Oryzias latipes: one gene and its partner. The main gene of each other region encodes a partner of the protein of the gene in region 2 in a complex. Links are inferred from orthologs where the notes say so. Each region holds a gene or a part of one and is shown on either strand. Other genes may lie near its edges.

The links. The genes of interacting proteins can lie anywhere in the genome.
Region 1: voltage-dependent L-type calcium channel subunit alpha-1C (region 2) and cacnb2 share a complex: the UniProt entries of both Homo sapiens proteins name them as parts of the calcium channel complex. The link is inferred for Oryzias latipes from reciprocal best matches to the Homo sapiens genes CACNA1C and CACNB2.

The regions. Positions count from the first base shown.
Region 1 is NC_019878.2:20,109,142-20,117,095, forward strand, and holds the start of cacnb2 (voltage-dependent L-type calcium channel subunit beta-2), read right to left. Parts: upstream 4,045-7,954; 5' UTR 3,228-4,044; coding exon 3,159-3,227; intron 1,121-3,158; coding exon 1,001-1,120; intron 1-1,000. UniProt on the Homo sapiens protein: Beta subunit of voltage-dependent calcium channels which contributes to the function of the calcium channel by increasing peak calcium current. Plays a role in shifting voltage dependencies of activation and inactivation of the channel.
Region 2 is NC_019881.2:14,482,864-14,490,919, forward strand, and holds the start of voltage-dependent L-type calcium channel subunit alpha-1C, read left to right. Parts: upstream 1-3,665; 5' UTR 3,666-5,303; coding exon 5,304-5,427; intron 5,428-7,574; coding exon of another isoform or gene 7,575-7,702; intron 7,703-7,883; coding exon of another isoform or gene 7,884-7,924; intron 7,925-8,056. Other genes in the region: dcp1b (mRNA-decapping enzyme 1B), read right to left, coding at 28-251, 1,028-1,805, 2,197-2,295, 2,458-2,623, 2,736-2,802, 7,575-7,702, 7,884-7,924. UniProt on the Homo sapiens protein: Pore-forming, alpha-1C subunit of the voltage-gated calcium channel that gives rise to L-type calcium currents. Mediates influx of calcium ions into the cytoplasm, and thereby triggers calcium release from the sarcoplasm.

The DNA of each region.
Region 1 (7,954 bases), on a different chromosome or scaffold from region 2:
CAGAGTATTAGCCATTCAGGTCAAAGCAGGAAATGCATGAAGATGGGTCAGAAAAAAAGGCTTGTTCCATCTGGAGCATTGCAAGCTGGGAAAAACGCCAACTTCAATTAAATGAGTTAATCATTAATTGAGAAAAAATGTATTCACTCCTCCATAAAAAGGCTAAAAAAACCTTCGCAGGACTGTATGTCCCAGACAGTTACCCCCCAGGTCAGATCCTGCAAAGCTGGGATTAAGTGCTAAGAAGCAGAGTTACACCTCAGCCTCTGACGGCCTCGACTGATTTTTTTCAATCTGCTGTCATATTTATGACATGAAATAATTATCATGTAAACATATAACATATAAAATGAACTTTTTTGAACTTTTAAGTGTAGTATAACCTTAATTCCTCACAACCACATTTTGATCCGTTTACGCATTTCTGATCATTCTTCTAAAAACCTGCGCTCTGAGCACCAGCCCCTCTCAACCCACAAAAACCAGTGGGTTCTCACCTTGTGACGTAGATAAGTGAAGAACAGCCCCTTCCAGGAAGAGTCTCTACTGCCATAACCCCCCCCCCCCCCCCCCCCCCCCCCCCACACACACACACACACTTTCGACTTGGTGCTAGCAGGGATCTGCTAAATGCTTTCCTTTTATATACACAACATGCACATCAGTCTTTGCAAAAGTTCGGATGTTGTTTGATTTCGTGGGCGAAACGCAGACACACCGAGGTCGGCTCTAAGTGGGCGGCACCCACACGGACCGAAAGGCGGAGCCTCAGAGATTCAGTCGTCTTACGTACTGACGCAAAATGAACAATAAAACAACTATTTCATAAAAAATGTGTTCTTTAGTGCGTCAAAGGTAATATATTTTCATATATATGCATATAGTTTACACTGAAAGGCTTAAGAATAGCATGATTTAGGCCCTTTGAAAAACCTCCAGTATGTTTGTACTTAGTGAAAGGCAGCAGAATAGTTATCAAATTGTGAAAGATGATACCAACCTTGGCCTTCTCAATTTGTGACTGAGCCTGTCGCTCTGCCTCTCTGCGAACTGCCTCCTTATCTTCTTCAAGGGACACATCGGAGTCTGATGGACGGCTGGTGTAGGAGTCGGCCGAACCCTTCAGACCCACAAACAGAAGCTTGTTAGTGACACTCAAACTCAGCTTCACATGGCTAAAAATACAACCTGTTAGAGGAAACAACTTGATAAATAACACAACTTACAGGTGTGGAAACAGATGTCAATGGTAAATAATCAAATACGCTTTAAATGTGTCCCATAATAAATCTATAATCAGTCAATATCCATATATAAGAAGAAAACCCTGACAAAAATGTCTTTTTTTCTTAGATACGTTTATGAAATTAGGGTATAGTTGCCAAATTATTGAACCGATTGAATTTGATTTGCACGTTTGTGATTCAGCTTTCTTTTTGGTTTGATTAAATAACAACTTTTTAACTGTCAAATAAAAAAACAAATATGGTGATGTAAAATGAAACTCACTGATAAATGTTGAATTTCCTTCAGAAAAAGCTACTAAAAATAGTCTCCATTAAAAAGAAACTCATTTAAAAATAATTTCAATTCAAGGATTTAATTTATTTAAGAGTCTGGCAAAAAATAAAATAATACGATGCCCTTCACATCATAGGATTTTTGGAACCTTTTTGATTTTCTTTGGCTTGCTTTATTCTGGTCTGCACAGTTTAGCCCAATGAGAGAATGACACAGAAGCCAAAGAAGGTTCTGAAACAGACCAGTTCAGTTTGGATCCAAGCAACAAGAACAACTTTTAATATCCAGACTCATAGAAACATGAACACTCAGGAGCTCTGATTGACATTGATGTATAACATAAACACATAGGTCAAATACAGAAAGCTGACAGTTACAAGACTAAAAAATTATAAATTAATAAAAGGATTATAAATGGATGCCAATAATAAAGAGATTCTGCATAAAGATTTGACTAAAGCCAGTTCATAACCCCAGATGTTGACCATAATTATCAGAGTAAGCTGGATTCATTTGAAGGTCATAATTAGATTCACAGTCTGACATGATTTTATCAATCTATTATTTTCTAGATAAAGTCATTTTTTACTTATACTTACAATACCATCAAAAAAAACAAAATAAAATGAAAGCAACCAAAATGAAATTGTGAATTCTAACATTGAAACTATCATTTGGGTTTTTTCCCTTAAAAAAAGGAAAAATAAGTTTGTAAACTTAATAAAAACACATGGAAAATTAATATTTATATTTAAAAAAAAAGATATTGTGCAGATTTCAGAAGCCCCAATAATGCAAATAGGACAAATGTTGTGTTCAATAAATGAACACAACATTTTGATGAAATCCAGTATTTGTCTTCTTTTTACCTGCACTCTACTATGCCTCTTTCACAGAGTCTTCATTCATTTCTCTGCATCAGAACCCTCTGATGTCTGAGTTAAAAATAGCCACACTCTGCGCCTGATTAGAATTACCCAACCATCGCATACGTACGAAGGAGAGTCGCACCGCTCCTTCCTCAGCCCCACTTATGTATAGAAACAAAAAGAAAACAAAAAGATAATGTTGCCGGGGATGAAGCTAATCTATTCATGTACCCACCATCTCCATCAAAAACTTGTTGCACACTCATTTCCAATTAATAAAGAGACAAATGATACAGTTAGGAGGTTTATTATTAATGCAAGGGCTTTGTTGTCTGTAAATATCAAGGCCATCTTCTCATTGGCTTTAACATACATCCCAGCAGAATTCTTCAAGGTTGCAGCAGCACCTTCACAGCTCCACACCATTTGTGATGGACTGCAAATGTTTCTCCTTTCTCGAGAGTCCTATTGGGCTTTAAAAAAACGCTGTTTGGAACACCTGGACAACTATTATTATTCCATCACGTCACAGTTAAAGATGAGGTGCAACAGGAGCGCTGTTCTAGAGAGTCAGATGGAGGTTATGTGGAGCTCTGCCCAGAAGCTGACAGCTAAAAATGATTGCTGCATCTAAATTCTCTTCATTGCACGGTAATACACAACTGTGGAACTCGACATTATGTATGGATGGCGGAAGCACGGGGTGGATGCATTAAAGGCGAGAGCATGCACATGTGTAAATGTAAACACACTCAGAAATGGCCTTACACAGGCGTCGGAGCTCTTGACTCGACCTCCTTTGGCTCGTTTCAGCAAGCGAATCCAGGTGGCCTTCATCAGCCACACTGGTCATTCAGTGTCCTGAGCCACTGTCCCCCCTACCCTGACAACCACTGCTGAACGCCAGCACTGCTGGGGCCACCTTTGCACCAGTGCTGCAGAGACCGGGGCTGCAGGTACATTCAGCACAGCTGGTTCCTCTTACAACTTGGCCGGAAAGTCTACATTCAACGCTGGATAGTAAATAAATAGCTTTGGAGTCTGAGCTCCTTGTTCTGCTGCAGCTCCCCCTGACTTTGTCTCTGTCTGCTGAGCCAAAGCTCCTGCTCCCCCGACTGCAGCTGCTGCTTTTGCCAAAGATGGGGAATCCTCTGGAGCTCTCTGCCCTGCGCATAATCTCAGCAGCTCTCTCCTCCGTCTGCCCCAGTCTCCTTGACAGCTGGAGTGCTCAGTCTGCCACTGCAGGTGCTGAGGCGGACTCCCAGTCAGGTGATGCTCCTCATCCTCCCCGTCAAGCCCTCGCTCCAGCTTTGTAGTCCGCTTCTGCAGCCGATTCCCCACGACTCTCTGCGAGCGGCATGTAAGGGTTTATCGGTGAGAGTCGCGGTGTGGCGGCGTGTGACGGACTCTACTCCTGAAGCCGCTGCTGCCGAAAGCCTTTTAGCCTGTCAGTGTTTTCACACAAGCTCTGCTGAGCTCCTTCGGTGCTTCTGCCTCCCTATCTCTCTTCCATCCACATCTCCTCCTCTGTACCTCCCCTTTTCTTTTTCTTTTTTTCCTTGAGTTACACCTCACAGCCAGTCCATCTGCTCATTTTTGTCTCTGCGGCAATCATTTCTGGACGGTGCGCGTGCCAGGAATACTGTTCAAACTTAGGGCTGCAGTCAGATATCAAACACTGAAGCTTCTTTTTTTTAAATCAACACCAATGTTGCATACAAAAATGACTCTAAATGCAGCAGTCACAGTAAAAGACAGATATAAATTTTTAAGTTTTGTAGACAACATTTTAACATTTTTGTATAGATATTTAAAACATACACATTTAGAAGTAAGAACTAAAGGTATAAATGTATTCAAAAGTTGCAGTGTCATACATTTTCACAAATTTCTTACACATGAAAACAGGGTTCGATATGGGCTTTTGGCAAAAAGATTAGAAATAAATCCTAAATTCTTAATTAGATGTGAGCAAACACTCCTAAAAACGTTTCATTTTAAATGAAAAGCTGTTCTCAACTGATCCTCCTAGTAAAATAAAGGTTAAATAGAGTAAATAAAATTGAAACTGAGGTGGAACACTGCAGAGGAGTTATAATGAGTACCTCTATCCCCCATTTTTTAAAAGTTATTTGGGTTCAGCTGGTTCAAATGATGTTCCTCCTGAAATGAAAGGCTGTCTTTAAGTCCAAAAAAGGCAATAGTCACAGATATTTAATCAATGAAGTCTCAAAAAGATACAATACATCCAACTGGGAGAGAAGAATGAGATCTGAGTTCTATCTAAAGTAGACAAATACCCAATAACACCCAAGATAGTTTATATAAAAAAAGTGATGTATACTTTGAAGATATATTGATTCTCTGATAGGACACAGATGCTCCAAAAAAAAAAAAAAAAAAAAAAAGCAGAGACAGAAAAAGCCACAGGCTGTCAGACAGCACTGAACCGCACACAGACAGTGTTGTGTCATTCACACAAACATCATCTCATATTGGTATAAACCACTTTTTTAAAAAAACAACCTCATTTTTCAGCTTTTCCCAGCTCACAAATCCATTTAAATGTTGCTGAAAGTAATGTCCTGTTTAAAGAAGCCTTATCAAATTTGACTCTTGGAAACCTTGACAGTCACAAGGAACTCCTCCCGCTAACCACTTTAATGTCACGTGACCCAAATTACATAAGATTCGGAAAAAAGATGGAAATCAGCAAACGCAGGGCTTACTGAACCTCTCATGGGTGTGGCTCTTTGCGTGCAGCATCCCTTTGCGGCCGCAAAAACATCCCTGCAGTCGTCTGTTGACCTCTTGGAACAATAAACCAAACTGCATTTGTGATTTTGGGTAAAATGTAAAAAAGGACGTGAAGCTGTGTCACTTGGGTGTTTGTAGCTGAAAACCTGTGTGCCATCATGACTTCACTCTCTTACTCCTGCTGATCATCAGCAGCTATCCTTCTTACATAATTTGTGCAGGAAACCCCAGTTCAGACAATTAGGATGACAAAAGTGGCAGGCCGATTGGACCCAAACTGGATTCTGCAACAGGGATTCATGGCTATGGTTGACGGGAGTCACTTTTATTTATTTGGTAGAGACATGATGGAATTGATCACTTTCAGCAGCTGGTTCTAATTCTGTAGGTTTATTCAGGCCAGAATATTTCAGCTGGTTCGTTTACAGGCTTGTTAATATAATAAATCAACACCCACACCTTCACATTGTTAGGTTTTTTGCTCCATTTTTTTTCTAAGCTTTGATTTTTTTTATTTCACTTTGCTCATCTCTCTTCACTTAACTTCCGCTCTTTTGATTAGGCTGCATTCACACAGAAAGTGAACAAAGCCAGAGTTTACTTGAGAGCACAACCTGACCCCCACGCTTTGAGACCGAGGTCTGGTCTAAATCAGCATTCAGATGTGCATTTTGATCCGCCTCTTCTAATAAAACTGTTTGCATCTTCATGCAGGATAAAGTGGTTTCATTATTCAGAGATTTTTACTTGACATACTCTTTTCAGCTTTGGAATTCAATCAAATCCCTCTGTTATCTTCCTCTACAGCAAAATAATGAATCGCATAAAAACTGAGGTTCATGTTTTCCTCAACAACAAACGCTTTATCATGTTGGACTACCATCACTAGATAATATGCTTTGATATGAAGGTGCTACAAGATAAGAAGTTACACCAACAAAAGATTCAAAGGATGGATTTGTCATCACAGTGTACAACAATATAATACATTCTGACCTTACTTTAAAACCCATAGCACAAGAAAAGCAAGAACTAAAAGATTCCAGAACGGTTTTTACCCCACTGCATCAAATATCGTAAACATGACTTAAAAAACCTAAATAAAATTCAATCTGGACCTGCTTGAACTGTGCAATGGTGGATCAGGGGTCACCACTCCAAATCAGCTTCCTCCATCTAACCCTGTCTTCTGCATCCTCCAACACCAGCTACCTTTATGTCTTTGTTCACTGCATCCATAAACCTCCTCTTTGGTCTTTGGTCACATCTGGACATGTCCGAACCATCTCAGTCACACTTTATCTCCAAAAACCTCTAACATGTGTGCATCCGGCATTTATCCGGGTCACTCCCAAAGAGACCCTAAGCATCTTCATCTCTGCTACCTCCAGCTTTTTGTCTTTTCCTCAGAGCCACTGTCAGGCCTAACAACATGGATGGTCTCACCCAACCCTGATTGTCCACATTCATGTTGCTTTGTGAAAAACCACAACTTACACCATGTTTGGTCATTAATGCAATACAGTAAAGTGCCAAACAATCTGCAACCGTTGCAGCAGTTTTGTGCAAACATCACAGCTTCGTGATGCACACAGCAGACAACTTAACCACTCCATCACCCAAAAAAGAACATACATGACGTGACTCCAACAGTGAACAGGTTAAAGCGTTTCAGCCTCAGTAATCGTTTTCCATACTCTGGTTACCAATACAAGGCACATTAAGACTCACTGCAGGAACTAAGGAACTCCCTGGAGATCAGCACACTTTCAAGGGGTTTTTCTCAGCTGTTGCACCACAGACAGCATCTCTGAAGTATTGCAGCAGCAAGCTGGTGGGTGGTAGTTAAAGTGAACTGACAGTCTTATCTATTGCATCATTTCTCACTCTGTTCCTGTTCATCCTATTTTTTAAATGTTAAGAGTCCATAGACCAACAACCTTTCTGCAGGTAACAGCGCCTGTGTTGAGGACTACTTAAAGACTGGGCTGGGGGACTTCCACAGTATTTTCTTTCTTCTGACTATAGCTGTGGGAAGAAACAGATATTTAAGTTTTCTGCAAAAGCATAGATCCAAACTTTACCTAAAAATGTATGTTTGTAAATGAATTACACTTAACATTTTTAATAGCTTTTTTTTTTTAGAAGTGAAAAATAAAAATAGATATTTAAAGATTTTCACCAAAATTGTGGTCTAGAGGTTTAGCGGTCGCTCTCTGATTGGAGGATTACTGGTTCGGTTCCCACCCTGCCCTCTCAGGCAAGACACCAAACACCACTTTGCTCATGATGGTTCTAGGTTGGCGCCTGTGTTAGGCAGCAGTGTGTTAGTGTGTTTGTGCAAGGGTGAATGAGACTGGGACTGTAAAGCACTTTGGGCCTTCTATCAAAGCAGTGTTTTTCAGCCTTTTTGAGCCAAGGTACACATTTTCCTTGACAAAAATCCCGCAGCACACCGGCAACCAAAAATTATATAAAAGTGAGACTCTCTAGTCTGTACTGATATGCAGTCTCTCCGCGATCTCACGTGCATTTTTTGTAATAATTGAGGCACAAAAAATTTGAAATTGCTGCTGTTTGTCCTATAAGTTGCAATAGTGTTTCATAATAATTTTCAACTAAATTAGTCAAAATGTCAACCCAAATTTTGAGCTTCCCCGTCCAGATATCTTGCGTTCACACATCGCAACATAAGTTTTCACGTCCGGTCGCAGGATCTACATTCATTTATTGCGCACTGGAGGTTCAACCAGTTGAACTTCTTAACAAAACTGAACAATCAGGGATTTGGCCGTGACGTGCGGGTG
Region 2 (8,056 bases):
CAGCTATCGGGGGGGGGGTCAATGTACCTGACACTGCAGGGCCGTTTTTTGACCTGCAGTGAGCGAGGCTGCGGCTGGTCCCGCCGGTGAACTGGCACTGAGGTTTTGGTTTGGGCCCAGGAATCGAGGAGCCAATCCGGGGTGAGGTCGCGGCAGATCAAGAGAGCTCAGGCTCTGTTCTTGCTGGACCAACTGCAGCTTCTGGAGGAGTTCATGAGGTGAAACCACTCCCTGCAACTGGGATGGCAGACCTGACAAAACAGAGCCAGAACTTATATATAAAAGATACTTTTAAAACGCGCAAAAGAAACTTGTCTCTATGATTAAATAATTGTTTAAATCTAATCTTTTACATCATTCCGTTGAAAACTGAAACTGAAGCCGACAGTTAAGGTCTTGGGTTCACATCGGCCTCAGCACTAACATTCAAGCAGCCACTTTAAATGAACAGTCTATGTAAATGTGCAAACTCTTGCGTTCACACGAAGCTTCACAAGTTGTCACGACCAATTTTAGGCTTTATGTACGTGGCTACTGAATGCATCTTGCAAGTAAAACCAGGTCGAACTTTGACCAATCAGGGACTCTGTATGGATGGAGACCCTTATAATTCATTGAGGTGCCCACGGTTTGAAAAACTGATCATGAGAAATGAATAATGACAGTTGGAGTCCGGACATGCACTAGTAAATGGAACAAAAAGAAAAAAAGAAGAAAAAGAAGAAGTCCCTCCCTGATTGTTCAGCGTGAACACCGTGGGCTAAATGTGTTGAAGAAGCCCCATTTAACTCGTTCTTGAATTGGCATCAAACACCTGGAGTGTTTGTTGCTTAAAACATTGATGAATTAACATTTTGAAAGTAGAATAATAATCCTTGTCAGTAAAGGTGATCTCATTTTTATAAATTTGCTCCAACTATTAAGTATTAAATTTGTTTTAAAATGGGTTTACTATATACGTAAATTCGTTTTACATGTTGGGATGTCGTGCTTTTGTTTATGTGATGCGGCAGAAACCATTTCTCACCTGTTCCCAGTGAAGCTGCTGCTGTTTGGCTGCTGTGCTGTTCTTCTGTTTGGGACTCTGGAAGTCTGAAAAACAGCTGCTGGCTTTGCTGTACTTGAAGGTGGGGGCACGAGGCAGACTCTCCTGCTACAAAATGGGGGGAGAGGTGAGAGTGAGCCTGAAGAGGGGGTGGATTGGAGCAACAAGCGGTGGGCCGGACAGCGGAGGAAAAGGTGGTGGCCAGTTGAGGAAGTGAATGACTTTGAAAAAGCTTCTTTATTGGATCATGGTGAAGCTGCTGCTGCTGCTGGTGATGATGATGATGGTGGTGGTGCTGCTGATGGTGATGATGATACAGGTGGTGGTGTTGGTCCAGGGGCACCCCATTATCACACAGTCGGTTCTCCGGGGACTCAGAGACGGTTTGCAGGCCGCCTCCAACACTCCTCTGGCCCTGCATCAGCTTTGCAATGGCCGGGCAGTGTTGGGGTTCGTTCTGCAGAGGTTGAGTGGAGGGGGAGGGACTGAGCAGAACAGCTACAACGTTTCCACTCTCTTCACCAGGTAGTGGCCTGACATCTCCATCTGAGCCCCCGGCAAGAGCAATGTGTCCAACAGCTGAGGTGACCGCATCGTCGTAGGTCAAAGTGCGAGCCACCGGGGGGCGAGAGACTTTTCCTGTGGTTGTGGCAGCCCTCCCAGCAGGAGGGGGAGCAGATATAGAGGAGTGCGGTGTGTGATGCTGAGATCCAAACAGGGTCGCCAAAGAAAGAGCCTTGGGCTCAGAACCCTCACTGCTCTAGATTTAAACAAAAGGAAATGTGTAATATAATATAATATAATATAATATAATATAATATAATATAATATAATATAATATAATATAATATAATATAATATAATATAATATAATATAATATAATATAATATAATATAATATAATATAATATAATATAATATAATATAATATAATATTATATAATATTATATTATATAATATAATATAATATAATATAATATTATATTATATTATATTATATAATATTATATAATAAGTAATGGATGTCAGTTAGAGAAACCAAACAAAAATAAGGTATTTCACTGAATAAAAGCTGACCAAAAGCTACATAAAAAAAAAATGTTTTAAGCAAAAACTGGAACTCAGACACAGAATCTAAACGTAATCATACCTGAGTGTGTGGTTTAACGGGTATTGGTTTGATGAGGTTGGGGTTTCCAAAAAGGACACTGCTCCCACCAATCTCTTTTGGTTCTGAGGGAGGTTTTTCCTGAGAAAACAAAGAGGAAATACTGTACATGCTCTTTTATTTTGAAGAAAAACTACAACAAAGAAATGAACAAAGCGAAACATTTTGTTGATCTATTTGACAAAAATGTACTGATAACTGATGTTTCGTTTGATAATCTTTCAGTCTTTGAAGGTAGCATACTTTGTCGAATTCGCTGCGCGCTTTGGTCAACATCTGGATGATGTCGACTGGCTTTGTTTTACTGCTTCCTCCTCCTTTTCCAGCTCCTATTATTCCTTCTCTTCCTCTTCCTGGTGACAACCACCCATCCTGGTTATGAGCCAGGAGCTGCTCCTGATGGGTCAGACTGGAAGGACGCAAAAAAAAAAAAAATCACTACATTTAAATATTTATTTCTTTTAACACGACACAATTTCAGCTTTGCTAAAGATTAACACGTTAAACACAAAACTACTTACATCTTCATCCTCTGGGCAACACGTTGACAGTCTTCCTTATCATAGAACCAAATCCCATGAATAACCACTGAAAGGACAAAACAGAAAAGAGACTTATATTTCTGAATTAATATTATACTAAAAAAAAGAAAACTAATAAAAGAACAGTCACAGCCAAAAAACAAAACAAAAACATGTTAACAGACCAGCTGTTTTTTTCTTAAATGCAATTTTACAAAAAGGTCAGCAGACAGCAGAATGAGCTTATGGATGCAGCATTTCCGCTACAACCAAATCAAATCAAAGCAGATTTTCAAAAGTTGAATTTTGATGCTGTGACATTTAAACAGACATCAGATATGTAACTATTAGCATTGCTGAAGAAATCATTCTGTTTCCATATCAAGTGGAAAGAAGCCTGTAGTCCCATTGGACGTTTGAACATGTGCCTCTGAAAGCGCCTTAGCTTCATAAACATGTTCAGTGAGCATGTGGAAAAATGTGAATTCTGCACATCAGAGAGCTAGTAAGACAGCTAGCAAATCAAAATTATTTTATTTTATTTCCTAGTGTAAATTAAAATGATCAGCATGAAATAAAAACATCTGTGAGGAAAATAGTAATTTGCTTTTTACCCCTTAATAAGTTCCATTCATATAACATTTATTGAACTTTTACAAGGAAATTCTGCCTTTTGAATGTTAAAAACCTTTAAGAAAAATAAGAGTTTATGAGTAAAATGTTAGAAAACTTAAACAGAAGGAAAGAATTACAAGTTTAGAAAAAATGAAAGATACTTGAAATAACTTTAATCCGACACTGAGATGAAAAAAGAATATTTGACATCTTAACCTCTTTAGACCCGAGCTCTTGTTTGATAGCTTTTTTTATTTCGTAGCCACGGGCCCACAGGTAATCAGAATGAACTACAGTGAAAATAAAACCCACAATGTGATGTCATCGTATGTGGACGCAAGGTCACAAGAGGCTAATATACTTTCTAAACTCATTCTAAACTTGTATACGATGCAGCATTAAACAGGAAACAGAAGAACTTTTCAAGCGAGAGCTTCACAGACAGCCCATATTCTCCCACAGACAGACCGACCGACCGCAGAGGTCACTGTGGATGAAGGAAACAGACAGCGGGGGGAGGCAGAGACACACACACAGAGTTAAGTTGAGCATGGGAAAAAATCAGCCCGGGACCAAATAAGCAACTGCAGAGGGGGACTGACTGGTGGAGTGGGAGCAACTGAGTGCTCACAGGGGACAGAGAAACACAGTCGAAGTCAGGGAGCCGGAAAATAGAAAACAAAAATGAGCAAGACGCTGAGAGAGAAACAAGGAAGTTTTACCAGGTGTGTTAGTCCTTCAGAAAAGGAACACGTCGTTCTAAAATCTCCATGTAATGAATTCTAAAAACACGACTACACTGTGACATGTCTGAAGCAGGATCATGTCCTGCAACACCTCAGCTATAAACTAACAAACAGACTGGTCAAAAGTAAAGAGGACACGATTGAAAAATCGCAGAAAATGCTTTTGACTAAAGATAAACAGCTACGGTGGCTTTCTGAGCACAAAAAAGGCTGAAAAGAGCAAAATTGACACAGGAGGGCGGGAAAAGGAACCACCAGTACCAAAATCTGAGCAGAAGGAAAAAGAGGAGGCGGGGGGATACATTCTACTCACTGGACACTGAAGAGAACGAAGAAAAAGAAAGAGGAGTATTTAAAATCTGGAGCCAAGAACCAAATCCACCCGAATGAGAAACCAGGAAGAGTAAATTAGCGGCAGTGTTTAACTAATAACACCAGAGATTGTACTTCAAAGTTGGAGCAAAACTCTGTGATTGCGAGATCCGCTCCTTAAAGCCTTCGGGACACGGACTTAATCAAAACAGTGAGCATATGTGATGACTCCTCTACAGTAAAAGTCACGGGACTTGCGTGTTTATCTGTATGTATCTGAAAAAGCACGTTTAGATGGGATTTAGCAACACGGTGGTTGTGTTGAGCTGCAACACAAAGGGAACCTTAAGATAAATTTAAGACTTTTATTCCGCTTAAACTTACTATAACTTACATTTTTGAAGGACTAATGTTGCCAGAGACAGTTTATGGCTGCATTATGAGGTCACGTTTTTGATTAAATGTTCAACTATTTGTCATGATGACCACTATCATTTCATTCTCACTGTTTCCTGGTGGAGGTTAGACTGTTCTAATAGTTAAAACACATCCTTATAGAGCTTTCCTTACATGAAACACACTAACTGTGTTTGGAGGAATGGAATCATGACAATGTGGGAGGAGTAGACACTGACATGTACGGCTTCTGAAACTTCGGAGGAAAGACGAGATTATTGTGTCGATTTTGCATCTTCGGCTGGAATGCAGGCATCTCGGCTGCCTCTCAGGTTCAAATGAAAGGAGGGAGCACCACCGTTCCTGTGGCTGACTAAACCAATCCTGCACCACCTTCTTCTGAAGAAGAAACACTTTTGTTTTATCGAACCTGCAGGAGGACTTTGTGGATTCTTTTAATTCAAGATTATTTCTATGCAAGTGGAGAAAGACAGAAACCATGATTAGAGGTCTGTTTCAGAGAAAACCGAAACATGAGAGGCTGAAGGAGGAACCTGAAGTCCGATTTAAGGGCTTGTTGGTGTCAGAGAGAGACCTGGGATATACATACGTCCGACCTGGAGGTAAGAATCTACAGACAACACATTAAAAATGGTCTCAGGATGTGTCGGCTCAGATCTACATATGCGTGAAGGTGCAGCTGATAACACAAAATATAAATAAAATGACCAACAGAATAACCAGAAACTAAACAATGCTGCATATCAATTTTAGATTTAGAGAAAAGAATTCAAGTAATTTCTGCTGAAAAACATCAATACTGTCAAAAATGTTCATGTGAGACATTTATTTTTATTTCTTTATATATTTCTTTATATTCTTAGAAAATAAAAAAAAACACTGAACAGAAACATTAAAAGAAAATAAGACAGATCCGTGGAAAAAAAAATACTGTATACTGAAATTGAGAGCTGAAAGACTAATTTTTTTTTAGAATATTGGTGTGACTAAAAAAAAAAAAACAGCTGTAAAGACTTATAAAAAAAATTAAACTTGAAGGCTTCAGGCTGGAAAAATAGCATTTTGTTCTGTCCAAACATTTTTGTTCTGTGACCTATCCACGCAGTTCATTTTTAGCCCGGGCTGCCACTTTGTGCCAACCACCGTTCCAGGAAGTTGCGGCAGCACTTAGGCCGACATGTTTATCTAATGATAAGATTCCACGACCCCTCCACCAAGAGGTCACAATGCACTGGCACACTAATGCCAGCAAGCTATAAATCACATTTTCTCCAATAAAACCACGTTTTCTGTCTACTAAAAGTGTTCTTTCGTTATGTCATCTATGTAGAAATTTGGTAAACATTAGTTTGAGCAGCTATTATAGGGTAGGGGGTATTACTTTTGATGGGTCTCACTTGATCTTTCTTTTTATCCTCTTATGTACATTAGCTTATGGCCGCTCTGTAAATTTGGTTCTACAGTGTCACATCTACAAACGCAAAGAGTCTCTTTGAAGCCAAACAGTTCCTCTAAATCCTAGGAGACACACTGATAAAAATCAGTCTGATAACAACCATTACTCATGTCTACTTTTGAGCTCTTTTATTATTCATCTTAAACCAGAGCAATCAGAGCAAACTAACATTATGCTTGACCATAACGTTTGCTTTGAACCCACCATTCATTTACTTACATAAACCAATCTAATCTGTTCATTGTAACAGCAGACACACTAATCAGCTGTAACCTGATTACTGGTTTCAAGTGTTTTTACGCTTCGTGCTTCCCACAAGCGAGTCGGTTCAAATCTGTTCCTTGTTGCAGATGCTCCTACCGCAAACCGGCTATTTTGTGTTTGTTAGCTTCTGAATAGAAAGTCTAAATATTGTGCTTTCTGTTTCACCATGTTCCAAGTAAATGTAAAATAACAAAAATGAATAAACCAAACAATTTCTTTCAGTACAAAGATCCGGCTGCATGTCATTGTATATGACGGGGAGGCCAAGACGACAGGAGCCTTCTCTGTGCTCGTCAGCTACTTCTAAGCTAGCGTGTGTTTAGATTATCAGTGACTGTGGAAGTGTATCTAATCTCAGCTGGCTGCTTTTGTGGTGCTGTCAGACTCTTGTCCCACAGGCACACTTTAGAATGTGATTGTGTGTGAGAGCGCCCGATGCAGGTCTCAGAGAGTTGGTGATAAAACAAACTGAAATAACTCTGCTGAAACACCTTAAATGGAGTCACCGATTCATCCACCAGTCACTAACGTGGTCCTTCCTATCTTATTTGATGTCAAAATAATGTTTTAGTCATAAAAATACGGCTGCGTTTGACGCAACAACATTTTTTTTGAAGATATGTCATTCTTTTAGCATTTCTAATACCCTGCACTTTTGTGTGCTATTCAAAAGAAATAAACATAGTAATTATGGCTTAGTAAAACATTTTAGGTCCATAAAAAAAACCCATAAAAATCTAACTATGATCTTTGGTTATGTGGGCCCGAACTGACCTATGCTAAGAAAATAAATATACTGAAACACATGTAAACAACCATTAATTAATTGCTATTATTATTCATATATTAGGATTTTAATAATATGCATCTGTTTATGCAATAAACTCCAGAGGAAGAGGGTCACAGCAATAACTAAAATATGTAATGCAGCAGCTTGCATTGTATTTAAGACTGTCATGCACAGCAAACGCTGAAAGAATAGGACAGAAACTGGAAATCTGTGGGCTATTTTTATATATTCTGACTTACATCGTGCGTTGCGATAAAGCAGGAAAGGGTCCTGAAGCTGAAAGTCCAAGTCTTTTGTGATCGGCTCTGTCAGATTGTCCATGCTGAGACGGTTCATAATGGTAAATCCGTGTCTTGGAGATGCCAATCTGAATTAAAACAGCATGCAAAATGACAAAAATAATAACTATCAAAACTCAGGAAAAAACAAGGTATTACACACAGTGGTACATTATCTCCCTAATTGATATTAAAATAAAAATAAAATAATTGAATGCAATGGATGACCTCAAATAAACCCTAATCACAGACTTTAGGTCTTTTCTTTACCTTGTGTAAATAAAAAGAGTGCCTTCAACTTCCGTCTTCTCCTGAAAAGTAACAACAATCACGTCAAAAAAAGTGGGGGACAAATGTGTATTTTAATTCTGTTTTTTATTAAACATCCTAGGTTGCTACTTTGTAAACAAAGCTAAATAAAGCAGTACAAAGTATGAGGATGG